Linked DNA regions of Arabidopsis thaliana. The protein of the gene in region 1 interacts with the protein of each later gene in a pairwise test. Each region holds a gene or a part of one and is shown in the gene's direction. Other genes may lie near its edges.

Region 1 (5,624 bases):
AACATAATATAAATAGTACCATATGATTTAAACTTAAACTGTCTTTTTTACTTTTTTTTCTTTCACAGATTTAATCTTCATCTCACATCTCAAAAGATAAATTTTTATTCTGCAGTAAAAAATTCATTAGCAAACTCTCTTTAATTAAATATCAAAATATGTTTTTTAATGTAAAAATATTAATTAATATCTTAAACTTTGTCTTTTTAGTGAAATATCTTATATATTATAACAGAAGAAGTATATATATATATATATATATAAAAAAAATAAAGATGTATATTGGTTACCCAAAATTAGAAGTTCACAAGAAAATCAATATTCAATATTTACTCAATGAAATTTTCAACAAAAAAAAGTCTTAAATAAAGAAAGATTTACCCACTGAATCTGCTGAACCCGTGGCTCCGTCGGTTTTGATTAGTCACCGCCATTCTTTCCGAAGAAAAACAATAATAACAGTAATACTAATATATAGGTGGCTGTAATGTTGCATCTTGATCAAAAAGAGAAATAATTTTGTAGTTATTTTAAGGAAAAAGATGAACGTGATCATTTTCCATCATTCAGTTTTTTTTTTTTTTTCATTTTCCAACATTCATACATAGGTATTTTAAACTTTTAGATGATTCAAGGAACTATTTTAGGTTATAATAATGTATACAAAAAATTAGATTACTCAATAATTAATATCTCATCAATATTGCTGAAAATCACATCTGTTAATTTTATCAAAAAAAAATATTACTAAAAAACAGTTTAATAAGAAAATATTACTGAAAATAACGTTTAATAAGAAAATAAATATTGTATGATTATTAGATTTTTTCTGATAATATGTTTAATTGATTTATCAAATCTCAAGAATAAAAGGAACGTTGTTCCTATGTTTAACTGAAGGATATAAGAACATTGATAAACTTCTAAACTAGAACCAGGGGTAAAAGGATTATCAAATCTCAATAATAAAAGGAACGTTCTTCCTATGTTAACACATTGATAATTCTTTAATTTACTGGTAAAAAATATACGGTTTACAAAATATATATATATATATATATATATATATATATATATATATATATATATACGGTTTTAATAGTTACCGATCACAAAAACTATTAAAATTAATAGTATGAAAATATTATCACCACGATTTTTGTATTACTAATTTTATTGCTCTTAATTATTTTGTCATCTTTTATCGTTATTTTTCCATTAAAAATAAATACGGCTTTGTGTCACGAATAAGAAAACATATTTTTTAGTAAAACAAATTCGACTAAAATAAAAAGGAAAATGTTTTGATCACATTTTTATATTGTATTACAGGAAATAACCAATGATAGATAATAATATATTATTCAATTGTCATCATTTCTTAGTTGACAAAAAAAAATCTATACATGTTTCCGAGACGTTAAAAGTATTTACAAAACTACTCCAACAATTCACATTTGTTTTATAACAAATAGGGACAAAAATGATCATTTTAAGCTTATTGAATAACTATGATCGTTTATTTTTGTCAAACAAATGGATGGTTTATTTAATTAAGTCAAGTCATAAGAAAAAATTAATAGTAAGTGTGTAAGAAAAAAATTAAAAAGTCACAAATGGTCCCATACGTGTGATTCGGCACGATACTTCCTAAAAGCATACCACTAGGCTCTCTCCTATATAACTTCATCTCCACCAACGATGCATTTTCGTCCTCAGATCTCATCTCACTCACAAGAGAGAGATAGAGAGAGAAAAAGGCTCTGCTTTCTACATTATTTACGATTATACACTTTCCAACATGGCGGCCTCTGTAGATAATCGCCAATACGCTCGTCTCGAGCCAGGTTTGAACGGCGTGGTTCGTTCTTACAAACCTCCCGTTCCAGGCCGGTCCGATTCCCCTAAGGCGCACCAGAACCAAACCACCAACCAAACCGTGTTCTTGAAACCAGCCAAGGTTCATGACGATGACGAAGACGTGTCGAGCGAAGACGAGAACGAGACACACAACAGCAACGCCGTGTACTACAAGGAGATGATAAGAAAATCCAACGCCGAGCTTGAACCGTCCGTTTTGGACCCGAGGGACGAATACACGGCTGATAGCTGGATCGAGCGTAACCCTTCCATGGTACGTCTCACAGGGAAACATCCCTTCAACTCCGAGGCGCCTCTTAACCGTTTAATGCACCACGGGTTTATCACCCCTGTCCCGTTGCACTACGTTCGTAACCACGGCCACGTCCCTAAAGCCCAATGGGCCGAATGGACGGTCGAGGTGACCGGATTCGTCAAACGGCCCATGAAATTCACCATGGACCAGCTCGTCTCCGAGTTTGCTTACCGCGAGTTCGCCGCGACGCTAGTCTGCGCGGGGAACCGCCGTAAGGAACAGAACATGGTGAAGAAGTCAAAGGGATTCAACTGGGGATCCGCCGGAGTTTCCACCTCCGTGTGGCGTGGTGTCCCTCTCTGCGACGTACTGCGTCGCTGCGGGATCTTTAGCCGAAAAGGCGGCGCTCTCAACGTCTGCTTCGAAGGGTCGGAGGATCTTCCGGGCGGTGCCGGAACTGCTGGTTCCAAATACGGAACGAGCATCAAGAAGGAATATGCCATGGATCCATCAAGAGACATCATTTTGGCTTATATGCAAAACGGAGAGTATCTAACACCAGACCACGGTTTTCCGGTTCGGATCATCATCCCCGGTTTCATTGGTGGCCGGATGGTTAAATGGTTGAAACGAATCATTGTCACAACTAAAGAATCCGACAATTTCTACCATTTCAAGGACAACAGAGTTTTACCTTCTTTGGTAGACGCCGAACTCGCCGACGAAGAAGGTACATAAAATCTTTTTGCTTCAATAAATCTCATTAAGATGAACTAATTGATATGTTTAAAAAGTCTCCGAACCTATAGGAGAAAAACAAAAACAGAAATCATATTAAAAAATGAAAAACTAATGTTGGTGGATGATGTCAGCTTCTGTGACTTACATAAATTCAAATTCAATGGTTTTGTTTTAGGTTGGTGGTATAAGCCAGAGTACATAATCAACGAGCTAAACATAAACTCCGTGATTACGACGCCATGTCACGAGGAGATTCTTCCCATCAACGCTTTCACAACCCAAAGACCTTATACTTTAAAGGGTTACGCATATTCCGGTACTTGTCCTTTTAACATTTTAATTTAATAAATACGTTATTTCATAGGATGATTTAATTTAATAGTAACAATAATCTTTATACAAAAAAAAACAGGAGGTGGAAAAAAAGTGACCCGTGTGGAGGTCACGGTAGATGGTGGAGAGACATGGAACGTATGTGCACTTGACCATCAAGAGAAGCCAAACAAGTATGGGAAGTTCTGGTGTTGGTGTTTTTGGTCACTTGAGGTTGAGGTTTTGGACTTGCTTAGTGCCAAAGAGATTGCTGTTCGTGCATGGGACGAGACTCTCAACACGCAGCCCGAGAAAATGATATGGAATCTCATGGGGATGATGAATAACTGCTGGTTTAGAGTGAAGACTAACGTGTGCAAGCCACACAAGGGAGAGATTGGGATTGTGTTCGAGCATCCAACGCTTCCTGGTAATGAATCTGGTGGATGGATGGCGAAGGAACGTCACCTCGAAAAATCGGCTGACGCGCCTCCTAGTCTAAAGAAGTCTGTCTCGACGCCGTTTATGAACACAACTGCGAAGATGTACTCGATGTCCGAGGTCAAGAAGCATAATTCGGCTGACTCTTGCTGGATCATTGTCCATGGACATATCTATGATTGTACACGATTCCTTATGGATCACCCGGGTGGTTCGGATTCAATCTTGATCAATGCTGGTACGGATTGTACGGAGGAGTTTGAAGCCATTCACTCGGATAAAGCCAAGAAGATGCTTGAGGATTACCGTATCGGTGAGCTCATCACCACTGGTTATTCCTCTGACTCTTCCTCGCCTAACAACTCGGTTCACGGTTCATCCGCCGTGTTCTCGCTGTTGGCTCCCATTGGAGAGGCGACTCCGGTTAGGAACCTCGCTTTGGTTAATCCCCGGGCTAAAGTCCCGGTTCAACTCGTCGAAAAGACTTCCATTTCTCATGATGTTCGTAAATTCCGGTTTGCTTTACCGGTTGAGGATATGGTTCTAGGCTTACCGGTTGGTAAGCACATTTTCCTTTGCGCCACCATCAATGACAAGCTCTGCCTCAGAGCTTACACACCAAGCAGCACCGTTGATGTGGTTGGCTACTTCGAGCTCGTGGTCAAGATTTACTTTGGCGGTGTCCACCCAAGATTCCCTAACGGCGGGCTCATGTCTCAGTACCTAGACTCTTTGCCTATAGGGTCAACTTTGGAGATTAAAGGACCATTGGGTCACGTTGAGTATCTCGGCAAGGGTAGTTTCACGGTTCACGGTAAACCAAAGTTTGCTGATAAATTGGCAATGTTGGCAGGTGGAACCGGAATAACTCCGGTTTACCAAATTATCCAAGCCATTCTCAAGGATCCAGAGGATGAGACTGAAATGTACGTCATTTATGCTAACCGGACCGAGGAAGATATTCTCCTAAGGGAGGAACTGGATGGTTGGGCAGAGCAATACCCGGACCGGTTAAAGGTTTGGTACGTAGTGGAATCAGCTAAGGAAGGTTGGGCATACAGTACCGGGTTTATTTCCGAGGCGATTATGCGAGAACATATCCCTGATGGATTAGATGGCTCAGCCCTTGCCATGGCTTGCGGACCACCACCGATGATTCAGTTTGCGGTTCAGCCGAATTTGGAGAAGATGCAATATAACATCAAGGAGGATTTCTTGATATTCTAGTCTAAAGCCAAGATATTTCAAAGTCAAAACGTTAAGTCGTCAAAAAGCCTAGTGTTATGATAGATTCTAAATAAGTATTGAGGGATTTGTTTGTATATAATGTTGGTTCTTTAAAGTCTTGGATTTGGAAATATAATGTGTTCGTTGTATTCACGATCGATATTTTTTTTCACAATAATATACAAAAAGTAATTTCAGAAATTTTTGTGGTTAGGTTATCGTACATTGAATTTTCTGCGTTTACTTCACATTATGAATATCAATTTGAATATGTTCATTTTTTCATATGTCTTTGTCGTTAAAAAATAAAATAAAAATTCTACAGCTATTAGACACCAATAATCATTTTCAAAGAGAATAAAGCCAAAGCGAAGTAGTTTCCTGTTGTGCAAGTTGAAACCAAACTCGTCCATTAGTTCCTATATTAATCTTCACCACATATATGATTTAAGATTAGGGGGAGTGAATTTACTTTTTTCATTTGTTTTATTAACTTGTAATTTAGAAGACTCTTCCTTTTTGGGTGATTAGTTTAACAATATATCAATCGTTTGAGAATCTTTAGAGTTTTCAGTTAATATTCAATTTGTTCTTATTAAAATTGTACATGTTTATAAAGTATGTTTCTAGCATCCAAACTCTTCTCCATTACAGGATTAGAATTTTAATACAGCATCACAAGTTATGTTCTAAGTTATCCAAAAGGAACATCATATCTATATAAAAATAGTGTGCTATTAAACCGATAGAAAATGTTACGATATATATATATATATATATCTAAATA
Region 2 (5,409 bases), 2.7 Mb from region 1:
TTTGCCGTCTCTTCTCGAGACCAATATTTTTCCTCGGCACACCAAAATAATAAACCTCCGTCAAAACTCACGGTTCTTTTTTATTACATTAAACGCCGTTAAACATTCTCTTTCCTCCACGTATATATATATACTCTTCGTAACTCTTGTCTCTCTTCTCTTCGTCTAGTTAAAACTCTCGGAGCTCCTTTCAGTTCTCGGGTCACCCAATAACCCGACTTCTCGACCCGGTTTCGTCTCTGTTCTCATTTTTTCCAAATTTCTCTTCCGGAAAATGAAGATTTCTATGGGTTTTTGAGTTTGGAGATTTTCTCAGTGAAGTTTATTACATAATCAGATTCGAAGAAGAAGACATTTCAGGTGAGTTTATAAAAATTCTCTTTTTTGAAGATTTTTCTCGGGAAAATAAGAAAACAGAGAGATTCGTTGCTCTGTTTCTGTTCTTCTGTAGAAACGATTAGTCACTGGTTTTTTTCCGATCGATCTTTTCAATACTATTTTTTCCCGGAAAAAAAAAGATTCAGAGATTTTTTTTTTTTTTTTTGCGTTACCTTTTTCTGCAAACATTTGTCACTTGATTGATTTGATTTAGACAGATTCGATTCGTCATTTTTTTCTGATTAATACCAAAATTTTCTCACTAAACCCAAATCAGAAACTTCACCGAAAAATGTGTATTCATTCTTCAATATTAATATAAATTTTCATTTTCATTCAAAAGTTTCCCGGTATTTATTGTTCTTTTACTTTTTTGAGAAAACGCCGAATTTTTTCTCAAAAACATTAAAAGCAAAATTGTAGTATCATAAATTGTTTTCGTCCTTTTGTAACACATTTATTACAATTACTGTCTGTAACACTACTACACTAATCTTCTCTGCAGCCATTGATGGTCTATTTATAGACGTAGACTCAGAACTAACCCCACTCGTGCCGGCTTCCTAAATAGACCAAAGCCTTCAAGAGGAAAATAAAGCAGAAGCTAGCTATCTAGTATCTCAATAATCTCAGATCATATCGCTTCATTTCTCAGATATCGAAACACAAAGGTGAGTGAGTAATAAACAAAACCCACTAATCAAAATTTTATTTTTTGGATTGTAATGATTAAGAAAAAAAGAAGAAGTCGTTTTCTGAGGTGAGAATAATAATGGTTTTTGTATCAGTTTTTGCCTTTGCTTTTGATATCAAAACAGAGTTTTTTTCGTGATTCGTGATTGTTTTTGCGATTTTATCTTTTACTTTGGATATAGTTTTAGTTTTCATGTCGCGACACGCTTTAGATTGGTCCATCATCACTCAAAACCCTAAAAATAGAAACCAATCTCTTTTTCTTTTTCTTAACACGTGACTGTCAAGATTCCATTTTCTTGTTATATTTTTCAATTTTGTTTTGCTTTTCTAGTGTTTCCAATTGTTTTCTTCTTTACTTATGTATTTGTCTTGATCGATGTTAAACACGCGGAATCAGAACATATTATTTGATTCTCTTGAGTCATCACAATAATCTGATTTTTTTTTAAAATGTCATAAATTTCGGCTACTGCAAAAAAAATGTAATTATTCTTCGAACTTTTGTTAGTTGAGGGATGGGTTTAGGATCTTTTGCTGCACACAAAAGTATTAAGTTATTCTTTAACAAAAAAAAAAAACTATTTAAAGTAGAATAAAGAAGCATTTGTCTCTATTATGATTGTCTTTAGAATATATTATTACTTGTAAATAATGTGTTTATACAATTTTCAGGTGTTTAGATTTGCACAATTAATTTTTAAAATATTAGTATTTCTTAACTGGGTCCTATTTTCTGATCCCCAAGCTCTCTTTCTTTTCTAGTTATAACATCTTTTTTTTTTTAATAAAGAAAAGTGTAACATGTAGTTTTAATATCTCTTTCAACACTTTTGTCTTTATCAAGATCTCTTCACTAATTTATACCCATCTTTTTTTATTCGCTCTTAAAATAGGTAACACAAATATCCGACCATGGTGTAATGTAAACTGTTTTTCTTTCTTTCCATTTTTAAAAAATGGGTTTAGTACTTGAAATATTTAGCATTGGTTCTTTATGAGTTAAACTACTAACCAGTCAAGTTACATTTTCTTTTTGTTATAACATGAGTAGTTGTTTCCTGACTAGAGATATGTCAACAACTTTGTCCTTTTGTGTTTGTGTTTTGCGTTATAAGAAAACGACAATTGAAATCCAAATACCCTTTTCTAGCTATATGTTCCTAACTTGTAACTAATGTTTACATGTGTACTACGATTACATAAGCTTTACCCGTGTTTTATGTCGGATTGTGAGAGTGAGCTCTACTTTAACGTTCTTAATTACTTTTTGTTTTGTTTTGTAGAGTATTATTATTGATTTGAGTAGAGTAGTGTGAGGTTTGGTTTGTGATGATGTTTAATAGAGTACTCTCTGGTTTTATAGGTCTGAAAAGGCAGAGAACAACTCAAAAAAGAGACCAAAAATGTTTTCTTGCATAGCTTGTACCAAAGCAGACGGAGGTGAAGAAGTCGAACATGGAGCGCGTGGAGGCACCACTCCCAATACTAAAGAAGCCGTCAAAAGCCTAACCATTCAGGTCTCTCTCTTCTTTCTTTGTTGATCCTTCTTCTGCTTTTATTTTCTTTCACTTTATTTTATTGCTTTTCTCTAATTGCCTTGCTCGTGAAACAAACAAAGACACAAACCCCAATTAACGTATCTTAGAGGACTTAAAAAGGGTCCATATATTTGACTATTATTCGTTTTCTTTACCAAAGAATAGAGTTTGAAGTCATTAGTATATAGAGGTTACTGTTGTTTAGGACAGAGATCTTACAATGAGGTAACTTCACTTCATTTTTTGGAATCTTTCACCAATCTCTCTTTAATAGTTTTCATGTCAGTGTTTGCTTCCTCTCTATGTGACTAGACATATGAAAGTCAAAAACAACTACTGAAACAATTTAAACCCTCATTGTACATATCCTTGAATTATGTAGCCAGTTGAATTATCAGGACTATCATTAAAGCTTATATTGGGGTCATACTTTGATGAATATTGCTAGTGAAGCTTGATCTAAATACCTTTCTCTCAAATAAGCTTTAGTGGATTCTTACCTAGACAAGGAAATAAAGAAAGGGTTTTTTGGGGTGGGGGTAACTATTTTAGTAAATCAAAAGAACATAAACAAAAGAAATAGTGGGCCGTTATGATTGTGGTGCAGGCTAAGAAGACAATATGAAGTTTCTTTTTTTAATACATATGTTTAATTATGTTAGATCTCATAGCTTTATTGTTGTTCTTTTAATAATGATCATAGTAGACCTCTTTTTACTTCATTGGGCTAAAAAGTATACTTAGTCATACTTAAAAAGGCTTGAAACTACCTATAATGTTTGTGTACCGTTATACTCAACATTCTTGTGTGTTTAAATGGATTACTTTGATAAACAAGATAAAGTTTTTGAATGTAATCGGTCTTTTTGGGTGCATATGTTACGCAGATTAAAGATATGGCTTTGAAATTCTCTGGTGCTTATAAACAATGCAAGCCATGCACTGGTTCCTCTAGTAGTCCCTTGAAGAAAGGACATAGATCATTTCCGGATTATGACAATGCCTCTGAAGGTGTTCCATACCCTTTCATGGGTGGAAGTGCTGGTTCAACTCCTGCTTGGGACTTCACAAACTCCTCTCATCATCCAGCTGGACGGTTAGAATCAAAGTTCACTTCAATATATGGAAATGATCGAGAATCTATCTCTGCACAGTCTTGTGATGTTGTACTGGATGATGATGGACCAAAAGAGTGGATGGCTCAAGTAGAACCTGGTGTTCATATCACATTTGCTTCTCTTCCCACTGGAGGAAATGATCTCAAACGGATCCGTTTCAGGTATTTGAACTACTCAAAACAATCTCTATATCTTCATGGCATTCAACGCTGAAACATGAGATAAAAACTAACAATTACTTGTGTCTTGTTTTGAAAGCCGAGAGATGTTTGATAAGTGGCAAGCTCAACGGTGGTGGGGTGAGAACTATGACAAGATCGTTGAGCTTTACAATGTACAGAGATTTAACCGCCAAGCTCTCCAAACGCCTGCAAGATCCGACGATCAGGTAAACACATATATCCTTAGATCCCTTAGTCTTTCTTCAGAACAGGATCTATATGAATCTTGTCTTTTAAGCCAGAGAGGGTAACACAAGTTTATATTTCAGTCACAGAGAGATTCAACGTACTCAAAGATGGATTCAGCAAGAGAAAGCAAAGACTGGACTCCAAGACACAATTTCAGACCTCCAGGATCTGTCCCGCATCACTTTTATGGCGGCTCTAGCAACTATGGACCAGGAAGTTATCATGGAGGACCACCGATGGATGCAGCAAGAACCACAACTTCTTCCAGAGATGATCCACCTTCCATGAGCAATGCTAGTGAAATGCAAGCTGAGTGGATTGAAGAGGACGAGCCTGGTGTTTACATTACCATCAGACAATTATCAGATGGGACTAGAGAGCTACGTCGAGTCAGATTCAGGTATAACAAAACGTCTAAAACTAAGCATTTGCTAATCATATACATTTTGAAAGTTGGTAATCATACCGTGACTAACCGGAATCTATGGTTTTGTGGTTTAATCAACAGCCGGGAACGGTTTGGGGAAGTGCATGCAAAGACATGGTGGGAGCAGAACAGAGAGAGAATACAAACACAGTACCTCTAAGCAAACGAAATATTATGAGTACCAAAATCTTTAATTAATTAATTAATCTCCTTCACATAACAACACAAACTACACACATTTTGCTTATCTTTTTGTTCATCTTAGCTTAACATCTATACATAAATTAAGTGTTTTGAAATATCATTTCTAATCAAAGCTGATTACATTTACATATAATTATAAGTCTATAACTATCGTGTAAACCATGTCGTGTGTTTTGTGACAAAGATAAAGAAGTCAACTATGAACCTAAAAGAATTTATCAACATGCGGTATAGACTATAGAATAAAAAAGTCAACTTTATTATTTGCTTATAAGTTATAACGAATACAAAGTAGAGTTGACCATTTGAGTTTTTAGATGAGAAAACCATAAACTTGGAGGAAAGTCACCATAGTTCCATCAATGGCTGAGATTTCTGATATTACTACTCAGACACAAACCGTTGTCTTGGACATCGAAAACTATCAATCCATTGATGATTCCCGGTCGTCGGATTTATCCGCTCCTCTTGTGTCCGTATCGTTCGTTCAAAAGGTGAGCCGCCTCTTTTATGTTGCGATATGGTTTCTTAATTTGTCGTGAAATATTTGTTAGTCCAAATCAAGATTTTATATTTCGTGTGATGTTTGCTATAGCCTATATGCAAGCTCAATCTTGACTTTGGTTCTAATTATTGGT

What was found. The genes of interacting proteins can lie anywhere in the genome.
Region 2: the proteins of NIA2 (region 1) and BRX interact in binary tests that used the Arabidopsis thaliana proteins (3 or more experiments, as listed by UniProt).

What each region holds. Positions count from the first base shown.
Region 1 is NC_003070.9:14,156,816-14,162,439, forward strand, and holds NIA2 (nitrate reductase 2), read left to right. Parts: upstream 1-1,636; 5' UTR 1,637-1,801; coding exon 1,802-2,846; intron 2,847-3,032; coding exon 3,033-3,173; intron 3,174-3,269; coding exon 3,270-4,837; 3' UTR 4,838-5,123; downstream 5,124-5,624. UniProt on the Arabidopsis thaliana protein: Nitrate reductase is a key enzyme involved in the first step of nitrate assimilation in plants, fungi and bacteria.
Region 2 is NC_003070.9:11,445,327-11,450,735, forward strand, and holds BRX (DZC (Disease resistance/zinc finger/chromosome condensation-like region) domain containing protein), read left to right. Parts: upstream 1-1,960; 5' UTR 1,961-1,994; coding exon 1,995-1,996; intron 1,997-2,437; coding exon 2,438-2,591; intron 2,592-3,499; coding exon 3,500-3,891; intron 3,892-3,988; coding exon 3,989-4,118; intron 4,119-4,220; coding exon 4,221-4,540; intron 4,541-4,648; coding exon 4,649-4,727; 3' UTR 4,728-4,866; downstream 4,867-5,409. Other genes in the region: NIP3;1 (NOD26-like intrinsic protein 3;1), read left to right, coding at 5,134-5,265. UniProt on the Arabidopsis thaliana protein: Acts as a regulator of cell proliferation and elongation in the root and shoot. Regulates roots architecture and primary root protophloem differentiation.